5 linked regions of the Coturnix japonica genome follow. The protein of the gene in region 4 purifies or fractionates together with the protein of the main gene of each other region. This does not show direct contact. Links are inferred from orthologs where the notes say so. Each region holds a gene or a part of one and is shown on either strand. Other genes may lie near its edges.

Evidence for each region.
Region 1: the proteins of PRKAG3 (region 4) and PRKAA2 purify together in Homo sapiens (affinity purification with mass spectrometry; 3 studies listed by BioGRID and IntAct, counting the BioPlex papers as one, with this or other methods). This does not show direct contact. The link is inferred for Coturnix japonica from reciprocal best matches to the Homo sapiens genes PRKAG3 and PRKAA2.
Region 2: the proteins of PRKAG3 (region 4) and PRKAA1 purify together in Homo sapiens (affinity purification with mass spectrometry; 3 studies listed by BioGRID and IntAct, counting the BioPlex papers as one, with this or other methods). This does not show direct contact. The link is inferred for Coturnix japonica from reciprocal best matches to the Homo sapiens genes PRKAG3 and PRKAA1.
Region 3: the proteins of PRKAG3 (region 4) and PFDN1 purify together in Homo sapiens (affinity purification with mass spectrometry; 3 studies listed by BioGRID and IntAct, counting the BioPlex papers as one, with this or other methods). This does not show direct contact. The link is inferred for Coturnix japonica from reciprocal best matches to the Homo sapiens genes PRKAG3 and PFDN1.
Region 5: the proteins of PRKAG3 (region 4) and PIP4P2 purify together in Homo sapiens (affinity purification with mass spectrometry; 3 studies listed by BioGRID and IntAct, with this or other methods). This does not show direct contact. The link is inferred for Coturnix japonica from reciprocal best matches to the Homo sapiens genes PRKAG3 and PIP4P2.

What each region holds. Positions count from the first base shown.
Region 1 is NC_029523.1:23,047,296-23,051,271, reverse strand, and holds part of PRKAA2 (5'-AMP-activated protein kinase catalytic subunit alpha-2), read right to left. Parts: intron 3,661-3,976; coding exon 3,573-3,660; intron 2,041-3,572; coding exon of another isoform or gene 1,992-2,040; exon of another isoform or gene 1,445-1,991; intron 1,429-1,444; coding exon 1,204-1,428; intron 1-1,203. UniProt on the Homo sapiens protein: Catalytic subunit of AMP-activated protein kinase (AMPK), an energy sensor protein kinase that plays a key role in regulating cellular energy metabolism.
Region 2 is NC_029547.1:11,813,201-11,817,662, forward strand, and holds the start of PRKAA1 (5'-AMP-activated protein kinase catalytic subunit alpha-1), read right to left. Parts: upstream 3,186-4,462; 5' UTR 3,007-3,185; coding exon 2,877-3,006; intron 1-2,876. UniProt on the Homo sapiens protein: Catalytic subunit of AMP-activated protein kinase (AMPK), an energy sensor protein kinase that plays a key role in regulating cellular energy metabolism.
Region 3 is NC_029528.1:15,557,929-15,562,560, forward strand, and holds the start of PFDN1 (prefoldin subunit 1), read right to left. Parts: upstream 3,022-4,632; 5' UTR 2,930-3,021; coding exon 2,897-2,929; intron 2,725-2,896; coding exon 2,558-2,724; intron 1,797-2,557; coding exon 1,722-1,796; intron 1,601-1,721; exon of another isoform or gene 1,467-1,600; intron 1,435-1,466; exon of another isoform or gene 1-1,434. UniProt on the Homo sapiens protein: Binds specifically to cytosolic chaperonin (c-CPN) and transfers target proteins to it. Binds to nascent polypeptide chain and promotes folding in an environment in which there are many competing pathways for nonnative proteins.
Region 4 is NC_029522.1:24,310,644-24,315,393, forward strand, and holds the start of PRKAG3 (5'-AMP-activated protein kinase subunit gamma-3), read left to right. Parts: upstream 1-1,541; 5' UTR 1,542-1,758; coding exon 1,759-1,791; intron 1,792-2,537; coding exon 2,538-2,577; intron 2,578-2,792; coding exon 2,793-3,031; intron 3,032-3,116; coding exon 3,117-3,326; intron 3,327-3,443; coding exon 3,444-3,489; intron 3,490-3,592; coding exon 3,593-3,647; intron 3,648-3,755; coding exon 3,756-3,882; intron 3,883-3,973; coding exon 3,974-4,139; intron 4,140-4,223; coding exon 4,224-4,261; intron 4,262-4,334; coding exon 4,335-4,481; intron 4,482-4,564; coding exon 4,565-4,658; exon of another isoform or gene 4,659-4,734; intron 4,735-4,750. UniProt on the Homo sapiens protein: AMP/ATP-binding subunit of AMP-activated protein kinase (AMPK), an energy sensor protein kinase that plays a key role in regulating cellular energy metabolism.
Region 5 is NC_029517.1:112,956,186-112,960,161, forward strand, and holds part of PIP4P2 (type 2 phosphatidylinositol 4,5-bisphosphate 4-phosphatase), read right to left. Parts: intron 740-3,976; coding exon 591-739; intron 1-590. UniProt on the Homo sapiens protein: Catalyzes the hydrolysis of phosphatidylinositol-4,5-bisphosphate (PtdIns-4,5-P2) to phosphatidylinositol-4-phosphate (PtdIns-4-P).

The sequences.
Region 1 (3,976 bases), on a different chromosome or scaffold from region 4:
CTGAACAAACTACAGGGCCTCAGACACTCTGCATACACCTTTCCCCCCAGACCCTTCACCATCTTTGCAGCCTTCCTTTGGATGCTTTCTAATATCCCTATGTCCTTCTTATATTTCAAAGCTAGCCAGGCCCACTACTCCCACCAGTTCACAATGAAGTCAATGGTAATTAAGCAGGTAAATGCCAGTGCAAGCCTCAGCTATAGGTGCCACCTATCAATGGTAATCTTGGCATGCATGCTGTTGCTCTAACATACAATTAAATCTCCTACTCTTCAGGACTCGTGAAGTTTAAAAGGCATTTATAGTTCAGATCCTATTTGAATGGTTAAATTCAGGCCATCAATTGCAAAAGTATTAACAATCCATTATGTCCTGTAAGTACTTGTGATGTTTATGCATATGCTTAGCACACCAGCTACATGTAATCACAGAACCATAGAAGTTGGAAGGGAGCTCTGGAGATGATCCAGCCCAACCCTCTGCTAAAGCATGTTATAGTAATGGCTACTATAAATTCCACAAAATACATATGGGACTCCACTTTCACAAGATAAATATTTAAAAAATTACTCAGTTTGTGAAACATTCAAAGCCCTGTTGCCAGTTACAAACATGTCACGATATCTGAAGGCACAAATGCCTACTTAAGTGCCCAATTGTTCCCTTTCATGGGTAGTACAGCCATTGACTACAGAAGAAATGCCTCATTTAAGGACATTTGCTGACATTTTAAACTGTGACTAACATTTTAGCTAGTAATTCTTGTGTTCCACTTCCTTTTTTATCGAATAGACAGCAAGTGCAATGACAACACTTTTATTCTAAACAGCTACCAAAGAGAGATGTGCTTGAAATAAAGTACTGAAAAATAGCTGGCCAATATAGAGTTCTTAGGAATACTGTGTGAGAGCTGGTTATGTTAAGCACTACTAAGAGATTTTTGAGGCTATTTTATAATGTATGAAGATAGAATTATCTGTATATAAGTTGCAGGAAGCTACCTATTGCCTATTTTCACTTGAATTAGTGAAGCCACTGAGAAATGAAGTCGCCAATCCCACATTCATCATCACCCACCACCAGCTGGCAGCACTTGCCTCACCATTGGCACAGAAGAGTTCAGGCGGGCTCCTTAAATCCCTTAGGACCAAACTCAGCTGGATTAACTGGCAACTCCTACAAACCACGCTGTGGGCTGACCTGATGTCCTTGATGGTTGCACGCTTGAGAGGGTCAACCTGCAGCATGTGCATGAGCAGAGTGGCAACGGAGCGATTGAGGTACTCGGGGATGTAAAACACACCTCCCCGGATCTTCTTGAAGAGGGTGGGCACGTGCTCATCATCAAAGGGCAAAGTGCCACAGAGGAGGGCATAGAGGATGACACCGCAGCTCCAGATGTCCACCTCTGGGCCAGCATACAGCCTGTGTGAAGCAGAGGAGGAGAAATGGGTCACAACCCTTCCTCTATTCCTCTCTGCATCCTTGGGCTGCCTAAGCCAAAAACCTACTCGAGGGTGATGGGGAATGACGCAGAGCTGCTTTTAGTTGATCACGCTCCTTCGTGATGCATGAAACAGGAATATGAGCAACTCCACCAGACCCAACAAAAAGCCCAAATCTACATTTCCAGGAGCTCTGCCAGGCTGCTTGCTTCCTTGCCCCCGAGGCTGGGGGACTCAGCCAGCAGTTTCTATTCACTCAGAAGCAGATTAAACAGCAGCAGATACTATATCTCTTGAGTGTTTATTTTCAGTTGAAGTTTGTGTGCTGGTATGCAAGAGCTCCAGCTTCCGACAAGCTGTTAATGTGCTTCCTGGCATCACCAAGTCAGGATACCCCAAATATATGGGTTTTGCTGCTGCTGCTTGCCTGCTTGATTTGTTTGTTCATTGGTTTTTGCTGAAACTGCTGATTTCTCAGAGATTCTGGGAGTCAGTGACTACTCTTGGACTGTAAAATCCAATACAGAGGTCTGTTCATGAAACCTAATCGTCCTGCACTTGCTCCTCTTGAAAAGTTCTGCTGTAGACACACCTGGTATAAAAAAAAGAACCAGCCATGCACACTGTCATTCTATGAATGCTACCCAGGTAACAAAATACCATTTCTGAGCTCATGCTTGAGACTTCTCCCATGGAGAACAGTGACAGCAGCAAAGTCAGGGCATTCCGCTAATGCAATCGGCTCCAAGTCCCCACAGTCTATGTCTGATTCCAACAGACAGGATGTCTATTTTTTGGCTGATAGCCACATTGTTTGAACCGTGCTTGGACTTTTAAACCCAAATGAGGTTCACTTTCATGATGCTGAAACACAAGGTCTCACATAGTGCACCGTCTCTGGGAGGAGCTCAGCTATATCCACCTCCAGCAGCACATTCACCCCTGGTGGAAATGGCAGGTTGTTCCTCTCTGTCTCCTATATGAACTGAAAAAAATATATATGTGGTTTTGGCCTTTATTACAAAAAAAAATATGGGAATAATATTTTTTTGAATCACTGTCGAGTTTCTGGCTTTGTGCCCCTCTTGAAAATGAGGATTTACTTGCTTTCATATGTAGAACCATAGTCACAACAGGCTTTTTGGATGCTGGTCTAGTTCCTAGGATACTCTGCCAACACACGCGCCTGTGTAAACAGGCATAAAACAGTCATCATCACAACATTAAACAAAAGGTTGGGTTTGAAAGCTATAGGCAGAGACATACCAGATTATGAAAAGTAGCTCTCATGCAAAGGATGGTTCAAAAGGATGGAGTGGATGCTAAGGTTATGGGCAGTCCAAAGGAACACGCAGAGGACTGTAAATTCAAAGATCTGTATTTGTAAACTGCATTATGCTTTTACAGAGGAGAATTAGGGAATTCAACGTAATTCAGGTTCTCAACAGTAAAACATGGGAAGTGGCATGACCGTATCAATGGGGCAAGACTGAATTCAGCCCTAGAGCCTGTGTTCAGAATGCCCTGTTCCAAACAGCTGCTGCAGCCAGTCAGGACACAGCTGAGAGATGCCACTGCTCTGCAGTTCTGTCAGTTCAATTCATCAGTTCAAGACAAAGCTACCACCACTGAACCCGCTGGCATGAACATAAGCCTGAGAGTTAAGGGACCCAAAGACAAGGATTTTCAATACAAGGGTCTAGCAGTGTAGGGAAGTGATTAAGCAGAATATTGATTGCTCGCTTAATGAGTGGTTTTCTCATTAACACTGTGTTTTACATAGGTGGGCAGGAGAGAAAGGGGTGGCCTGGAAAAGCCTATCTTTCTGAAACCTCAGTGACTGCATCCAAAGAGTAATTTTCATTCCCTTTAATTAGCAATGTACACAGTAAACATCTGCTGTTAATAATTCCTCCAAAGTAAACATCTTTAGCAAAACATGTTTTGCTAGTACAGACATTGAGAAATACAACGAGCAAGAAGACCTTCAGATATTTCCAGCAGACTCACCCAGGCACAAAACACCGGCTGGAACCACTCAGCTGCTTTATTACAAGCTGGTTCCAATCCCAAGAGCAAATTTAAAGACCACATACTCACATGATTGGAAGTGGCATGTCCTACCTTCCAGAGATGACTTCAGGGGCTGCATAATTTGGGGAACCGCAGCTGGTGCGTAGAAATTCACCATCAGACATCATGTTGGACAATCCTAAAAACAAGGTGTTGGCTACGTATTGACATCCAGACAGGGAGAAGAGATACAGCAAGCAGAGGGGGAAATCTGATGTAATCTAAGTAGACACCTTTGAACCACTTTGCAATTACAGCTCTCATTTTCTTTCCAAACTAGTATTACTGACTCCGAGCTAACTTTGCTTCTCTGAGTTGCAAACCTCAGAACCTTTCTTCTCTACCATAGAAGAAAAGAGAGAGTTCTCTTCAGAGAACATAATGGCTGTGAAATGTGTAAATCTTCAAAAGAATTTATCACTGCTAGAAAGGACTGAACAGAACAGGGCTGGAAA
Region 2 (4,462 bases), on a different chromosome or scaffold from region 4:
ACAGCCCATAGAAAACCAAGAAGCCAGTGTTATCTTTCTGTAAGCTACTCTGTATTACCTCTTAGCATAAGTTTTATCTACAAAAGGGATGGCTTACAATCCAGAAATATATTTAAATTAATCAAGTTAATCATTTTAGTACTCTACCAGTCTTAGAAAGTAAAAGCACTGCATAGAAAGTTCCCTTTGTACAGCTAATATACCCCTCTTTATTCTTTGATAATACTCTAGGTTGATAATCATTTAGTCTAGAAAAAAAAAAAAAACTTCAAGATCACCAGATCCAACTATCAACCTGACCTATCAAGTCCATCACTAAACTATGTCCCTTAGTGGCACATCCACTTAAATACCTGCAAGGATGGGATCTCCACCGGAGCAACCCTTTCTGATGCTTGCCCACTCTCTCAAGGAAGGAATTCTTCGTGATATCCTATACAAACCTCTTCAGTGCAACCTGATACCATTTCCTCATGTTCTATCACTAATACAAATTGCATAGTCATATTGAAACTTGAAGGCACAGCAACAAGTTTTCAAAGACACAGTTGCAACAACCTCAGCAACAATTTCAATTGCTTAAGTGCAGAAACATTTGTCTAAATTCAAGCCTTATACTGGCAAAAACAACCCCAAACCACAGGAAATATGACGTCCTTATGAGATGTAGGTACCAGTTATGGGCACACTGAGGAGGCATCTCTTTGGATGCCCTCTGCAATGGGAAGGCAGTTGGAGGTACAAGCAACAGAAATACACAGCTGTGCAGTGCAGAGGGGGCTCTCACTAAACCCTGGGCTTTATTAAATCACATGAAGTTATACAGCCTCAGTCTAGCAGACCTGGCACTTGCAGGGTGGCCCTCACTTGGCCATACCACAAGCATTAGACTTACAAGATCTTTGACGCAGGAGACCACAGAAGGTGAAATTTAGTGGCAGGAGCAGACTCTTATGTTGCCCCATTTGATGGCTGGACTAGATTATTTTAGTGGTCTTTTCCAACTTTAATGATTCTATGACTACGTGTAAACAAATACACTGACAGAAACAAACAATCCAAGCCAAGGCTCAGTAGAGAGCAGCACTCTTTAAAATTAAGATAATATCGTTACTAACTTGGGAAAAATAAATTAATTAATTAATTAAAACAGCAAAAACAGCAGCTAATGCTGTGCATAGACAACAGAGAGCAAACTTACATTCACTATTCCCCTCCACATTTCATCAAGGCCTGTTTAAATCATTTTTGCAGATCACAGTTCTTAGCCTTGTTTTCAAGGCTTGGACAAACATTTTGTATCTACAATCACAAACAGTATACTCAGTTTCACTAAAAATTACCAGACGTCTGACTACTCCTCTTTTCATGAAATCTAACCATCTGAAACACTTGGAAATAAAATTCTGCTTTTGGATTCAGCAGAAGGTATGACCATTTTTTTTCAAAAGGCAACACTATAATAGTAATCATGGAATGGATTGGGTCAAAAGGGACCCTAAGGATCAAGTTCCAACCTCTCTTCCACAGGCAGGGCCACCAACCTCCTCCAGGTCTGGAACTAGATGCTCCACCCAACCTGGGTCTGAAGATGTTCACCTTCAAGAATGGAGCACCCACCACCAACCTGAGCAGCCTGTTCTCAGCACTCCCTCTGTAAAGAGCTTTGCCCAACATCCAAAGTCATTGAGGTCAGAATAAGTGTTATATGCCAAATGCTTGTACAATTGAAGTGAGAATGTACTTCACAAAACTCATTTACTTCCAGCAGTCTTTTTCACCTTTCATGTCAGTGATACTTTTGCTATGCCTGGACATGAAAGGCAAAAAAGAATGCTAGAACCAGTTGTCTTCTCTATGAATGCCTATCTGAGAGATAGACAGATGAACTAAGTCAGTAATTAAGTCAGGATTATAGAGCCAAATTAAGAGTTACATGGGCAAAACATCAGATCAGCAACAACAATCTGTGATATTAAAACACCAAGTGAAAAGGTGAATTAATTTGACAGCTTGCTGAACAGCGGGAAACCTTTGATAGTTACTCACAAATCTGCTTTTCCACTTGATTTCTGGGGTTGTCACTGCCATTAAACACCCTCTTCCAAGAAGACTGTCATGGTTTAACCTGATTTAACATGGCATCATAGCAGATACTATGAAGGAAATGAGCTCCGCATCAGCTGAAGTCATGGCAAAGCCACCCACATCACACAAACTCCAGGAAAATCCTAGCTGAATAAAAACGGGACAAGCTTTTTCTTATACCATAATCTCTCACCACCAACTGAGCTGAGAGCTGTAGAGAAACTTCAGTTACCACCAGCCTCAGCACTAAGAATTCCCACACAGCTGTGTCAGCAGCTGAGCTCGTTAGTCAAATAATTTCAGGATTTTTTTTTGGTTTAATGCTCTGCCCTTTGCGAAGCAAGAAAGCTCGCTGACCTTTTAAGGGCGGCAAATATTTGAGGGACAAAACGCAATCCCGCGGGCAGGTGTGCCTGAACGTCGGCCACCTCCGTTACAGATGCGATCACACTCGCACGCAGGAATTCTCCAGGAACGATGTCTGCCAACGCGGAAGAGAAATCCCCCGTCCGGAGAGCCGCCCCGCCCCGCCCCAGCCATGCCCGCTGCCGCCTCCATGGCCAGGCCGCCCCTCACAGCCAGAGCTACCAAACGCGGCCATACGAGCCGGGACCCGGAGCCCAGCCCTCAGCCCTGTGGCACCCCGCGACACAGCGCCCGGCTCTCCGCCTGACAGTGCCCAGCCTCCGGCCGGGGCCCCAGCAGCCCCCGTACGACCCCAGCGAGGGTCCCAGCGGGAAACCTGCCCCAGCCCCGACCCAAATGGAATAGACGGCGCAACAGCTCACCCTTGACTTTGCCGAAAGTGCCGACTCCCAACGTGTCACCCAGGATGTAGTGCCCAATCTTCACTCGACCGTGCTCGTGCTTCTGTTTATCTGCCGCCGCCATCTTGAGCCAAGAGCCGAGTCTGCGCATGGTGTTGGACGGGGCCTCCGGCGAGGAGGAGCTCCGGCACGCAGCCGGCCCCCGGAACTCAGACACTATTCCTCTATTGCCGCTTTCCGCCCCCGCCAACCATTTCTGCTACTCGGGCTCCGGCGGTGCGAGATAATCCTTCCGGGTTGAGTGCTGTGGGAGATGTCCTCTTCTTTCACCTGCTTGCTGCCCTGCCTGGATCCGCTTCCTACATACTGCAGACCAACAGCTGTTCTTGCCTGCAAATATTATTTTCAAGTTGCTTTCCAATCCTGCCTTCAAATAAACAGATGGAATTAGAAGAGTGTCAATTGCTTGGTCCACACCGTGGTCCACAGGAGGGATGCAAAGATGGTGAGGGTGTCATTTGTTCAGCCAATGGCAAAACATAGGCCAGTAAAATCGTAGGTACTACTTTAATATGCACCCTGCTAAAATTTGTGTATCATTCAAGTAACATTTTACATGGTAAAACAGTCAAAGCAAGGAAAATAAAACTAATGATTTTTGAGTAATTTAGAATTTGAATTTCAAGCATTTTCATGAGGATCGTGTTTGAGAAAATGAGATTCTTTCAGCCAGCACTACATGACATGTAAACTCTTTAACATGCGCAAACATATAAAAGATGTTATACGATGCAGGACAAAAAGGTATTAGTAGTCCTCAGTAATCCCCTGTTAATGTGTAAAGGTGCCAACTTCTGAACTCGGGGATGTTATCTAAACTCCCTTTGGATACTGTCTAAAGACAGAAATTCTACTTTTTATTACAGCTCATGTTCAGTGCTTCAATTACATTGTTATGGTCTTTTTGTTTGTTTGTTTGTTTTGTCCTTGTAACTGGAAAAGAAGAATAGAAAGTGAAGAAAATTGGTTGTTGCTCTTTTTCTAGTTTTGAGCTCTGCAGCAGAACCTCCTGTCTTCTGCAGCAGGGCCCATCAGCTCCTAACAAATCCTCAGGCACACATTGCATTGGGGGAGGAAAAGAACAAGCATCAGGCTTTGTTCCCATCTGTACCCATGTGATTTCCTTCTGTTCTGCATAATTGTAAATGGCATCCCCTATCCTTAAGGAAAAGCAGAAGTTCAGAGCTATTAGCAAGTACAAGCATGGTGCTAATGTACTTTTTTTTGTAATCCAGTGAAGCCTCAGCTTTCAAAGTACTGACACTACAAGGTATTTGATGTTTATATAAACTTTTTACGGTATGACATTTTATCCCATCTCCAACAGCAGAAGAGTAAGCACGAGGGGTAGACATTGTATTTTGAAAACACTCTCACAGAAGGTAGACTCTCATCTGAGAAACACCCAAGGAAGAAACCATGAGAGAATCACGACTAGTTGATAAAAGCTGAAGAAATGCAAATGTTTGGCTGCAAGAATTTAATGCTGCTCACTTGCACGTGAAACAGGTGACAGCTGCAAATACTGGAGCAAAAAACCTGAAATA
Region 3 (4,632 bases), on a different chromosome or scaffold from region 4:
CATCTATTTTGGCATGGCATGAAAAACTGCAGTGGTCTCCTCACTGTGCCCAGCATAAACCCCTGATGTTTTCCTTTGGTAAGTAAGAAGCTGGCCCAGGTCATTATTTAATGGAATGTGAAGGGAAAGGTCGGAAGCATTCAGACAAAATTCTGAAGCTTAAGCTTTCGGCATAGTTCTCAAAGCAGCACGATGATATCAGTTCACAAATAGCTTAAGCAGGAGTCCACCACAGTGGTAGTTGTCTCAGGCTAGATAACAAGCCTTTCAAAGAGCATGAAGTAAGAGAATGAAAATGTATTTGGCACGGTGCCACTACTCAGATGATATCCTAGTCAAACAGATATGTACAGTACACAGCAATTCATCACCTCATACTATGTGGCACTGACAATGGTTGTGTTAAACCAAAATTAGCTACAGTAAATGTTTAGGAACAACAAATGGGCTTTCACATTTGCCAGTGGCTCAGGGAAAGCCTCTTGGGCAGGAAGCAGGCTCTGGGCTCAGAGCAGGAACCACATAATTCTTTACAAGTAGCGCAGAAGTATGGAACTAGGTAGACTTCTTCCCAGGATACAGCACACCATCACATTCCTGAAACACTCCGTTTTCACAAAGTCCTGGAATAGCTCGTTCTACCCAAATAGAACTACTAATTTGAAAGGCAGACTTAAGCCCCATGGCCAAATCAGGCATAACTCACAGAAACACTGCAGTAAGCTAAGGAAGGGGAAATAAAAGTAAAATAAATCAGTGAATAAGTAGTTTGGAGAGCATGAGCACTCTTAACCTGAATTTGCATAGTGACTAGGACAACAGAACCCGCAAAGAGTTCACACTTCAAACATTTGAAGACTAATATCATGCAGATAGTATTTTTCTACCATCACTGAGGAGCAAAGTGCTGCACAGCAGAGTCTGAACCACCTGCCCGGTCACATGAAGGTAAGCAAGAGTACAGTCTCAAAAAGACTGGACTCCAGCAGCTGGGTTGAAAGCAGGACAGTACTTTTCAGTTAGCACAGAAACATTATCTCATTCACAACCAACATTTTACAATGAAGGCTGATATATTGATGCTTTCAAAGAATCTTGAGGAATTATTTCATAATGGAGAAGTATACCCTGCTTTAAGATTAAAGATAAAAAAATAAAAAAAAATTTGAAGAAAAATTGTTGCTTCCAGAATCTCTTAGTTTGTCTTTTCTGTGACAAAAACAATGAGCCTACAGCCTGCCTGGGTCATATCAGCTATCTCCTGCAAGAGATCTGCAAATTCTATCTCCTTTCAACATCATCAGCAGCTCCACACAAACCCAAGTTCATCTGCTTGGAAAACTTAACAGGAGTAATTCCACAGTGGTCCAAAGAAGGCTGTCACGCTACACACCCCCCCATCAAAATCACAGAGTAGCTTCAGTTGGAAAGGACCTAGAGACCACTGAGCTTCAGTTGGGAAGGACCTAGAGACCACTGAGCTTCAGTTGGGAAGGACCTAGAGACCACTGAGCTTCAACCCTCTGCGGCAGGCAGGGCTGCCAAATACTAGATCAGGCTGCCCAGGATGAACCCAGGCACAGCTTCATTTTCCCATTGGTCTTACCTGACAACTACCAGTGAAGCGCAGTCCACATACCAGTCCTGGCTTCCCAGCCCGCAGCTCCCTAAGACTCACCCAACAGATTGTGTGATGACATGAATCAGGCCCAGGAACTCACCGCAACAGCAGGCTGAACCAGCTACAAGTCTGCTGCAGCACAAAGGAGAGTTGGGAGCGGGGAGATGCAATCGCCCTGTGGGCAGCAATCAAATCAGATTCAACCTTCTATAAAACATCATCCCTGAATAAGCGTAATCATCACTGTTGCCCAGTTCACAATGGAAGAGAAAAAGCACACACAGAAAGTTAGCACGGCACAGTGAGTCAGCACACACGTCAGACTGGAACCCAGTTTGTGTGTTGCACTTCATGAGGCTGCTGCAGTCAGAGCTGCGCTGCCAGAATAACCCAGGTGCATCACTGCAGGTGTGAGGTGTGAGACACCACCCAGCGCGGGCAGGCGGCTCCTCGAGTGCGCATCAGCCTCGTGCTCACTTCCAAATGCTGAGGCACGTGGACACCACCAGCCCGACACACACTCGCTGGTGCTGCCCAGGGCACCGTGCCCGGGTGCACACCGATGCTCCGGGTGCACACCGATACTCCGGGTGCACACCGATACTCCGGGTGCACACCGATGCTCCGGGTGCACACCGATACTCCGGGTGCACACTGATGCTCCGGGTGCACACCGATACTCCGGGTGCACACCGATACTCCGGGTGCACACCGATGCTCCGGGTGCACACCGATGCTCCGGGTGCACACCGATGCTCCGGGTGCACACCGATGCTCCGGGTGCACACCGATGCTCCGGGTGCACACTGATGCTCCGGGTGCACACCGATACTCCGGGTGCACACCGATACTCCGGGTGCACACTGATGCTCCCCCGATGCTCCTCGTGGAGCCCAGCATCCCTGCTTCTGCAGGGACGGTGCGGCCGCTACTCACATCCTGCCCACGCCCTCGTACATGCGCGTCTCGTCCACCAGCGTCATGATCTCGGTGTCGGTGAGGTGCGCGTGCTTCTTGCTCTTGCTGAGCTGCTCGATCTGGATGTCGGCGAGCTTCACCTTCTGCTGCGTGTCGATCACCTTGGCCTGCAGCTCCGTGAAGGCCTGTGGTGGCAGAGCGGCACGTCGAGCGGCTGCGGCCGGGCCGGGGGCAGAGGGGCGGGGGGCGCCCGGCCGGGCCGAGCCGGCCCAAACTGCGGGGAGAGGAGGGGGAGGAGGGGGAGGAGGGGGAGCAGCGGCCCGAGAAACACGTCGGACGGAGCCGGACACCCGTTACCTTCTTCAGCTCCAAGTCAACGGGCGCCGCCATCTTCCCCACGCTCGGCGCCTGCGCAGTGGGGGCGGTGGGAGGGCGGGGCGGAGCGGGCTGCGGCCGAATGGAGGTTAGAGCGGGGTGGGGTGGGAGGGGGCCGAGGAGCAGCAGGTTCCAGCCCACCGACCTCCATATCTGATACATGGCACAGGGCTCCATCCAGCCCGGCCTTGAACACAGCCAGGGATGGGGCATCCACAGCCCCTCCGTGCAGCCTGTGCCAGCACCTCCCCGCTCTATGTGTAGAACTTCCCCCAACATCCAGCCTAAACCTTCCCTCCTTGGGCTTAAAACCTTTCCCCCTTGTCCTATCACTGTCCACACCAGTAAAAAACTGATTCCTCTCCTGTTTATTATCCCCTTTTAAATGCTGGAAGGCTGCAATGATGTCACCCCACAGCCTTCTCTTCTCTAGGCTGAACAAGCCTGGCTCCCTCAGCCTGCCTTCATCGGGGAGGTGCTCAGCCCTCACAGCATCCCACCAATGCTCCTCTGGGGGGAATGGAACCACCCGCGGGGCTGTGGCTGTTCCCAAAGGGAGGCAGCACTGCAGCTTTGGGGTTTCTCCTTGGCTGCCTCCCTCAGAAGCGCAGGCCGAGCTCCGCTCCTGCAGTGCTGCAGCTCTTCTGCTCCATGCAGATCATGGCTGTGAGGTGAGCAATGGTGGCACTGCACTGCACCAACACTTGGTTATCAAACAGGCTGCTGTAACACACTGTGTTGGTTTGGATTTGGTTTTAAATTAAATCCAAAGATTCTGCCTGCCTACGAGCCTTGCTCTGGAGAACAGCCGGTGTTCGTGGAGGAGGAGGTGTGCTGCAGGTTGCAGGGCTCAGTGCTGGGGCACAAGGAGTGTCAGCAGTGGGATGGAGCACTCGAGGGAGGCAGGCTGGGTGGCAGGGCTCAGTGCCTTGCTCCAGGCCCCTGCTGGGCACTGGATTTAGATTGCAGTGGCTGAACTCAAGGTGGCTTTGCTTCACCCAAGCATTGCAGCCATTCATGAGCCAGCCGAGATACAAGAACACGCGGGGCTGCCACAGCTGCAGGTTCCAGGGCAAGGAGCAGGGCAGACCACACCCCAGCTCCCCATAACCCTCCCCCCTCCAGGGAGTACCCCAGCAGGATTATCCCTGCTGCACCCCAAGGCCAGCAGGCTTGAGATCTGTGCCGCTGCTCCACAGATGCTCCTGGGTAGTTTTAGTACCCCACCATAAAGGGCAAGTTGTTATCTGTACCCTTTGGAGACCTGACCCACATCTCTTAAATCAACAACTCACGTGTTTGTTACAAAGTTATTTATTAGAATATTACATTGCACTTAAAAAATAAAGGAGGTCTGACCCACACAAGGGTCATCTTGAGTTACACAAAGGGTACAGAGGCAGACCTCCAATAAATATAAATACTATGTACAATTTATCTAAAATAAATATATAATTTAAAAGGAACATTCTCTTGTTAAATAGCTGTTACCCTCCCACCCCTCCTGTGCCCACGGAAGCCTCGAGCCTGCTCTCCCAGCCTTTCACAGTTCGTCCCCTTGCATACACTGCAGGGGCTGCCCCAAGCTGCTGGAGAGTCCCATGCAGCCGGCTTGGCTCAGAGCCTGCACGAGAGCATCGCTCCCAGCCCCCTCCATCTGGAGGCCACCAAAGCTCCCTCCAGAGGCACAGCTGCCAGGTAAACCCTGATGCAGCCTC
Region 4 (4,750 bases):
CTGCACTCTTGCCCGTGGGCTGGTCCTGGAGAGAGCCGTGTGATTCAGTTTTTAGAAATGCCAAAACCTGGCCAAGTTGGATTTGTTACTGTTGTTCAGGCCTGATGCGGTGATGGTTTCCTTGTTGGTGTAGGATTTGGATGAGCTGGGAGGCAGCTCCCTCTCTCCTTCCCTCACCAGTATGGGTTGAACCCCTCCTTGCCTGTGTTGCTTTGCACTAACCCTGAGCCCCAGAGAGCCGGCAAAGTTGTCTGCTCTTCTCTTACTGCAGGCCAAGGCAGGGGAGGACCAGCTACCACTCTGCTGTTCTGGAAGGAGCAGGGCTTGGGCCTTTCAGCCCATGGGTTTTTATTCTGAGTACTTGTGCCCGCATCCTCTGGCTTCTGCCCACTACTGGGGAGGGAGCAGCCCTTCACTGCAGTTGGCTCTGCGGTGCTCTGCAGTGTGCACACTGGAGATGGGTGCTACTCTCCTGTTCTATTTTTCCCCTTCGTTTCTCAAGATGTTTCCATTAAACTTTTGCACATAGCTGCTCTTGTGTCCTCTCTGTCTCATCACACCTGGTGGCCCCTTCCATGATGAAGGCGCAGTGGGTTCTCGGATGGGGTGCTGTGGGGCTGGTGCTTGCAGAAAGCCCTTCCCTCTCCTTTCCCCTCAGCCCCCCATGCCCGCAGCAGGCCCTGTTTTCTGGTCTCCTTGGTGACAATCTCATCGCTCCTCGGCTTCTCTCCAGCACCTGAAAATAGCCACCGAAAGTGGAGATGCCTGCTGCCAGCACTGCTGCCGTGGCCAGGCTGGAGCCAGGCCGCCCCGCTTGGGGCTGGACGCCTACATCTGCAGGCCAGTATCACACACAGTGAGGCAGCCTGGGGGGGACCCTTGTGCCACCCCAGCGCCACTGGCTCATCCCCAGCCCTGAGTCTCCAAGCTCATACCTCCTCTTTTTCTCCCTGCCTTTGCTGTAGCTCTTGGAGTAACTCTTTGCTCCTCACACCCCATACAAAGGCATGGGGGTGCTTGCAGCCTCCCCTGCATCTCAGGGGTATTTTGGGAAGCTGTCGGCTGTGATATAGAATCATCTGCCTGGCACCCTTGTGGGGGCCTGTGGCCCTGCTCCCTGCCATGACCAGGGTCCAGCTGTCCCCTGGGGTGAGCTTGAGCCACCCTGTCTCTATGGCCAGCCATGGGTCCGCTCGCCCACGGCCACTCTGGGGCTGGCCCGGCAGCAGGCCAGGGTGATATTTGAACCTTCCTGAAATAGAAATGAAGCTGGGAGCAAGCATGGGGTGGGAGGGGGTGGCCCATTGGGGTAAGGAAAGAGGTTTTGGGGCTGGTGACATGAGATCTGGGGGCTGGGAATAGGCTGGATGGCAGCAGGACCCCAGGATGGGCTGTGGCATGGGGACAAAGTGCCCAGCCAAGCTGTCCCAAGCTGTGCTGGCTGCCACTTCACCATCCTGCCGTACATGCAGTGCTGTACCCCTGCTCCTGGTGGGGCCGAGTCCCACTCTGGGTGGTACAGACTTGGTGGGCTGGGGATGGCTTTTCCTCCTCTGGCCATCCATCCATCCATCCCCTGTGTCTCCAGGTGCAGCAGGTGCCGCAGGCTGAGACAGCAGGGTGACGCTGTGGGTGCTGCCTGGTGGCCGTGGCCCCCCCGCATTGATGGGGGCATGGCTGGCATTGCTGAGTGACACCCTATCTGCCAGGCCCCGGCCAGCCGCAAGCCCAGAATAGCAGCGCTGTCCTGCAGTCAGCATGGAGCAACTCTCCAGCCCCGCCGCTCCCCAGGTACCCTCAGGACGGGTGGGGGGCCAGGCTGAGTGGCCCCCACTTGGGACCAGCCACGCTGGGTGGGGGGTTGGCGGCATCTTATGGCTGGATCAGTGTGGGGACAATGACACAGGGCACAGTGTGATCCGCCTGCCTGCCCCAGCTGCTGGGGAATGATTGGGGTGGGGGGCATTTGTTTAAGGTCACCTCCCTGCCAGGGCAGCTCTGACCTCCTTAGAGAGTGATCCATGCGGCTTTGTTGCTTTAGGGTGGCATGTAAACATTGGCTCTGCTGCCAGCTCAGCCTGTGCTGCGTGCTGCTTTGTTATGGTAGGGTCTCCTGGGGGACTGGTGGGGGTACGAGGCCAACGGGCTGGTTATGATCGTCTCCCCTCCTGCCTGGGCTGCCCCTTTGTTATTGTAGGGTCTCCCAGCCTGAGGCTGGGCATACCTAGCCCCGTGTGGCAGGTGGGGCTGGCAGGGCTCTCAGCATCAGAGGAAGCTGGAGTGGGATTTACACCTTGAGGACCGGAGGAGGGAAAGGAAGGGCATGGGGTTGCCTCGGCTGGGATAGTGACAGGAGCGCTGTGTGTTCTGGCATCCCACGCCTTGCACCTGGGATTCTCCTGGAGCGGACGACTGTCCCAATGGGGCCTATGCTGGCAAGGAGCAATCTGGGGCTGCACCCTGGGGGAACCAAGCAGTGAGGTGGGGGCAAGGTGGGCTGGCTGCTGCTGACCCCCCACCTCTGTATGTCCCTGCAGATGGTGCTGCTGGATGCTGCTGCCTGCCCTGTGGAGAAAGGTGGGTAGCAGGCAGGGGGAAAAGCAGCGCACAAATAGATAGCAGGTGGGGCTGGCTCACTCATGCAATGAGTGCATAAGCCCTTGGCTTGCTTGGGAAGCCGACGTCACCCCACTTGGCTCTGCAGAGTGGGCTCTGGGGGTTCTGCTGGCCCCAGCAGCATCCCCTGGTGTGGGGGCACTGAGAGCCGGCAGCTCAGCTCATTACTGGGGCAGGTGTGCCCACAGGGTTCCCAGAGGCACTGCATCCCAGGGGGGAAGAAAAGGAGGAGGAAAAGCAAAAGGGCTCCAGGCCTGTCAGTTTCACTCTGGGCAATGAGATCCTGGGACTGGAGCCTGACAACAATTTCCAGACCCCTGATGCTGAGGTCTACATGCACTTCATGAGGAGTCACTGCTGCTATGACGCCGTCCCTACTAGCTGCAAACTTGTTGTCTTCGACACCACGCTGGAGGTGAGACCACAAGGATCACTGGGGACTAATTGAGAGTGGGGGGGTCCTCAGTGTTCTCCTGACCCGCTCCCTGCTCTGCTGGCAGATCAAGAAGGCCTTTTTCGCCTTGGTGGCAAATGGGGTGAGGGCAGCTCCGCTGTGGGACAGCAAGGTGCAGAGCTTTGTGGGTGAGTGCCAGGGCAGCAGAAGGACTGCTATGGGATGTGGGCAGAGTGGGCAGCCCCGTGTCTCCACAGGGATGCTCACCATCACTGACTTCATCAACATCCTGCACCGTTACTACCGCTCGCCCCTGGTGAGTGCTCCAGACTGTGAAGGGCACGGTCCTGCACTCAGGGGGATGGGAGGGATGCTGGGGAATGAGGCAGCCCTTAGCCATGCCATCCTGAGTAGGGCATCTCCCTGTCCTCAGGTCCAGATCTATGAAGTGGAGGAGCACAAGATTGAGACGTGGAGAGGTAGAAGCTGGGGGTGATGGGGAATGTCTGGGCTGGGGACATCATACTCAGTCTGGGGGTGGCTCTAGTGTGGGACACCACTTGCAGCTCTCTCCCTTTGCAGAGGTGTACTTGCAGGGCTCCTTCAAGCCACTGGTCTACATCTCCCCAAGCGATAGGTGAGCTCCTGCCCAGGGGGGAGATCTGGCAAGACCCCCAGCCAGGGGTGGGCACCATCTCAGGGCACCGGGGGGCTTCTGGGCACAGCCACATCCCCCCACCCGCAGCCTCTTCGATGCCGTCTACTCCTTGATCAAGCACAAGATCCATCGCCTGCCTGTCATCGAGCCCATCTCAGGCAACGTGCTGCACATCCTCACCCACAAGCGCATCCTCAAGTTCCTCCATATCTTCGTGAGTACAGGATGGAACAGAGATGGGTCAGCCCATCACTGCAGGGTGGGGTGTGTGCATGATGCGTGCTCACATGTACTGCCCGCTTCAGGGCTCCACCATCCCCAAGCCACGCTTCCTAAAGAAGACAGTGCAGGAGCTGTGTGTCGGCACCTTCCGTGACGTGGCCGTCGTGCCTGAGAATGCTCCCGTGTATGCTGCCCTGGAGATCTTTGTGGACCGCCGTGTCTCCGCGCTGCCTGTTGTTAATGCTGCTGGTATCTTATAGCTCCTACCCTATGCCAATCCCAACATCCCCTCCTAACATCCCCTCCTCACCCCACTGCTCTGTCTCCTTGCAGGCCAAGTGGTTGGGCTCTACTCTAGGTTTGATGTCATAGTGAGTATTGAGTGTGTTCGCGTGGCCGTGGTGGCACATGGGAGCACATCCCGAGCACCACCATCCCTCTCAGCACCTGGCAGCCCAGAAGACCTACAACAACCTGGACATCAGCGTGCGGGAGGCGCTGCGGCAGCGCACCGTGTGCCTGGAGGGGGTCCTCACCTGCTACCCTCACGAAACCATGGAGGACATCATCGACCGCATCGCCGAGGAGCAGGTGAGCTGCAGGGACACATATCCCTTCCATTCACCCATGCCATTCCCTGCTCACTGCACACCTGTGATGCTCTGCACCCACAGGTCCATCGCCTGGTTCTGGTGGATGAGAACCGGTACCCGCGGGGCATCGTCTCCCTGTCTGACATTCTCCAGGCCCTGGTGCTCACTCCCGCAGGTATCGATGCTCTTAACTCTTAGCCCACGACGCTCCATCTTTCTCCATTCGCACCCTCCATTTCTCTCCACTTCAGGTAGGCGCTGCCCCTC
Region 5 (3,976 bases), on a different chromosome or scaffold from region 4:
AGGAAGTGAAAATTCTTCACAAGAACATTTTCAGTAACAAGAAATTCTGCAAACTAATGGGGAAAAAAATGCTTTTATATTTTAGTAATAAAGAACTCAAATCTTCAGCTTAGTTTTGAGAATTTGTGCTTAATATATTGACTATATCCCACTAGTTAAGTCTCCTTGCCTGGTATGATGGCTTTATTCAGAAGCAAAAGAATCAAAGTCTGGCTCTCAGTCAGAAACAGAATATGCAGAACCATCAGCTTGCTTTAAAATGTATTGAAATCACCTTCCTTGAACCTGACAGGCAAGTTTCTGGAGCCCTTTAATACAGTCACAAGCCTCAGAAGCTGAACAGCACTGTGGCCTGCATTACTATCTATCAGATAACCCAACAGAGCTAACTAGACAGAACAGAAAGATTTGCATTGGCTGCATAAGAACAGATTGATTGTGCCAGAAGCAAACCAGGTGCACCAGCAGCAACAGGCCCTCAATGGTGATGTCCATCAGCAGCTCACTCTGTAGGTGAGGACATAAATTCTATGTTCAACCTCCCACCACTTCCCCCCACGGAAAGAAAATGCTAAAAAACCCATTTTTACCGTAGCTTCATTGCAAACTGTGCATTTAACAACATGCTGGTGTAGCTTGCCATCCAAATTGATTAGTGACTGGCACACACGGCAGTTTATGACAGGAACACCACTGGCATCTGGACTCGCAATGGCAGTATATGGAGGTGGGAGCTCTGCTGCAAGAGATCATGAAATCTCAGATGGAAAACCAAACACGGCATCCTAAAACAGTCAGCAACCATAGCCACCAACAGCCACAGCCTCAAAGAAAGAAAAGTAAAGGGGAAAAAAATGTTGATGTTAACTACTGATATCCACATTAGATAAATCTAAGTTTACTTTGCGCTCCCCTCCCCCCCCCCCCCCCCCCCCCCCCCCCCCCCCCCCAACAATCTTCTGTGCAACATTATGTACATCAATCATAGTTCTACATAGAGCATATCAGCAACATAAAAACACCATAATTCATCCCAGAAAGGCAGGTCAGATGAAAGGCTCATCCATGCAACTCCATTTCATTTTCAAATCAGCCTTTTAGGAGTAAAGAAGGGGGCAAGGGAGAAACATGGATTAGCAGAATCCAAGGGTGGCTTCTGATGATAATCAGAAGAACAGACACAGCCTGGGTAGACAGAAGAGCTCATTCCAGGGTTGCCAACCACAAGAACAAGATGCCAGGGCCCCATCCAACCTGGCCTTGAAATGAATTAAACCTTCAGAGCATCTTCTTTGAAGAGTCCCAGAAATTTCTGCTGACCAAAAGCCAACACAAGGACACACAAGGTTTTCATTTACAGACCAGTACCAGCGAACATAACTGCCCTGTCCTCCTGTGGCAGGGCTAATTTCAGCACTGCCAGCCTCAAACACACAACAAAGAAAGGAGGAAACATTTCAGATCCTTCTCAGTTTAAGAATTCATGGAATGAAAACAATTCCACATAAACTCTCACAAGCTTATTACTGCAATTATTTGGCATGTATTACCAGTGGGTTTTATTTCATCATGTTCTTCAGGTAAGCAGATAAGGAATGGGCACATTTAAGTAGTTAACTTTTTCTGCTATTTTAAAATACTCTGGTAGCCTTGAACATCAAGAAATTATATCATGATTACGCCCAAATGGTCAACAAAGCCCTCAGAGAAGCAACAAGATATCAGCTTTCTTCCAGTTTACAAAGCATTATTATCTGCTGAGGTGGGGAAAAATCTCTAGCTACTACCAAAAGCAACAAGCCCAAGCAGTACATTTAGGCCTATGAGGATACGCAGATCGTTCCTTCACTCAATTTTAATGTGAATGTTGTAAACTGGAGGGATGTAAGAGGCTGTAAGATCCAAAATATCACAGAAAGACCTGGGTTGGAAGGGACCTCAAGGCCCTGCCTGGCAGGGCCACCAAACATACACCTTTACTAGATCAGGTTGCCCAGGGCCCCGTCCAACCTGGCCTTGAACACCTCCAAGGACGGGGCATCCACAACCTCCCTGGGCAGCCTGTTCCAGGGCCTAACCACTCTCCTAGTAAAGAACTTACCCCTAACATCCAACCTAAATCTTCCCTCCTTCCACTTGGATCCATTTCCCCTAGTCCTGCTATTGTCAGCCCTTTCAAAGAGTCTACTCCCCTCCTGGGAGTAAGTTCCCTTCAGGTATTGAAAGGCTGCAATGAGGTCACCCCGCAACCTTCTCTTCTCCAGGCTGAACAAACCCAACTCCCTCAGCCTGTCCTCATAGGGGAGGTGCTCCAGCCCCCTGATCATTTTCGTGGCCCTCCTCTGGACCCTTTCCAAAATCTCCATGTCTTTTTTGTACTGAGGGCTCCACACCTGGACACAGTACTCCAGATGGGGCCTCACAAGAGCCAAGTAGAGAGGGACGATCACCTCCCTATCCCTGCTGACCACCCCTCTCCTGATGGAGCCCAGGATACCATCACAAAACTTCTAAGCTTCACCACTGCTTGGCTCTCTCATTCGGCTACTTGGTACCCAAACAATCCAGATCGATACCTGACTTAACTCGCAGGCAGCAGAAGACCAGTGGATATCTTGAGAGCCTCAGAACAGACTTAAATTATTTCAGATGAGAGGCAAAATTCACTTACGTGCAGCAATGCTTCATAACTACAGAAAGAGAACCTCACACCTACAGCTTTGATGCTGTGGTTGCAGAAATCAACATCCTTAAGAAAAAAAAAACAGTAGAACTTCCAGTTCTATGCTGATTTTTCTTCCCTGTTTCTGTGGACTGGTAGCACCCAGCTGAAAATGGTCAGGGATAGGTGTAGTTTGAAGTATCATCATACTGTGCTTTCAGTACAAGACTACCACACACAGCGGAAGAAATACAAATGACAAACATCAGCAGCAAAACACAGGAAAACAAATGGGAGCAAAACAAACACTCACCCACCCACAGCACACACAAAAAATCCCACACTTTGCCAACCACAAACAATCTCAAGCCCAGCAGATCACCACACTAGCAGAAAACAGTTTTGAAACGTGGACAACTTAAAGAGCAAGATCTTGGCTGCGAGAGTCCAAGCTAAGGTTGCTGCAGGGGGTTTCCTGGCTGTAAGCAGGCTGCTTAACTGCTTCTGCAGCCAGTAACTGATACACTCCCTGGTTACAAGAAAAAAGAGCCACAGAACAGAATGCACACCCAGCATGCTAAAACCAAACTGCAGTTCAATTCCAGCTCTCAGGTTACTTCTGTAAAGCAACAACCAGATTGCAGATCTTCTTGGCTTGGCTCTTTCAATTTACAGTGAGACATAACTCCTATCAGCTTGGTACAGGGCAGCTGTATTAAAGGTAGGCAAACAAGGGCATTATTATTATTTCTGTTCACCAGTAAATACATATCCCCAAGCGTTTCAGCCTTCCACAATCCTGGAAGACTTTAAGACTGTGTCTTCTTTGTAAGAAACAACTCTAGATTTTGAAAGCTAATCAGGTAAGGTGTGCAAGTACACAGACAACCAATTTTCCAACATCACACTGGAGCTGCCTGGCTTCCAGGTAAGCTGCCTCTTCATTCCTGTGCTGCTGTCTCAGCAGATTTACAACAGCAGGCAATAATGGCTGCTTCTCAGAGTGGTGCTGCTACATCTGCTACAGAGCAGAAAGCCAGAAGTATCTTGGCACTGCAACATTTGTGTTTAAAGAAGAGACTTCAGAACGGCTCCCATAAAAACAACTAGCAAGGCCCTCCAGAATTAAGTGTAAAGAGAAATAGAGGAAAGCTATAAAGGGAAATAAAAGAACCATCTCCAAGTTTGCTGCTCCATATCCCTTAATAAAAATGCTGGCCACTTCCAAAGCACATTAACATATGTACTTGATATGACCTTTTTGGTTTTTGTTGTTGGTTGTTGTTTCTTAACAGCTTGAATTTCAAGCTAATA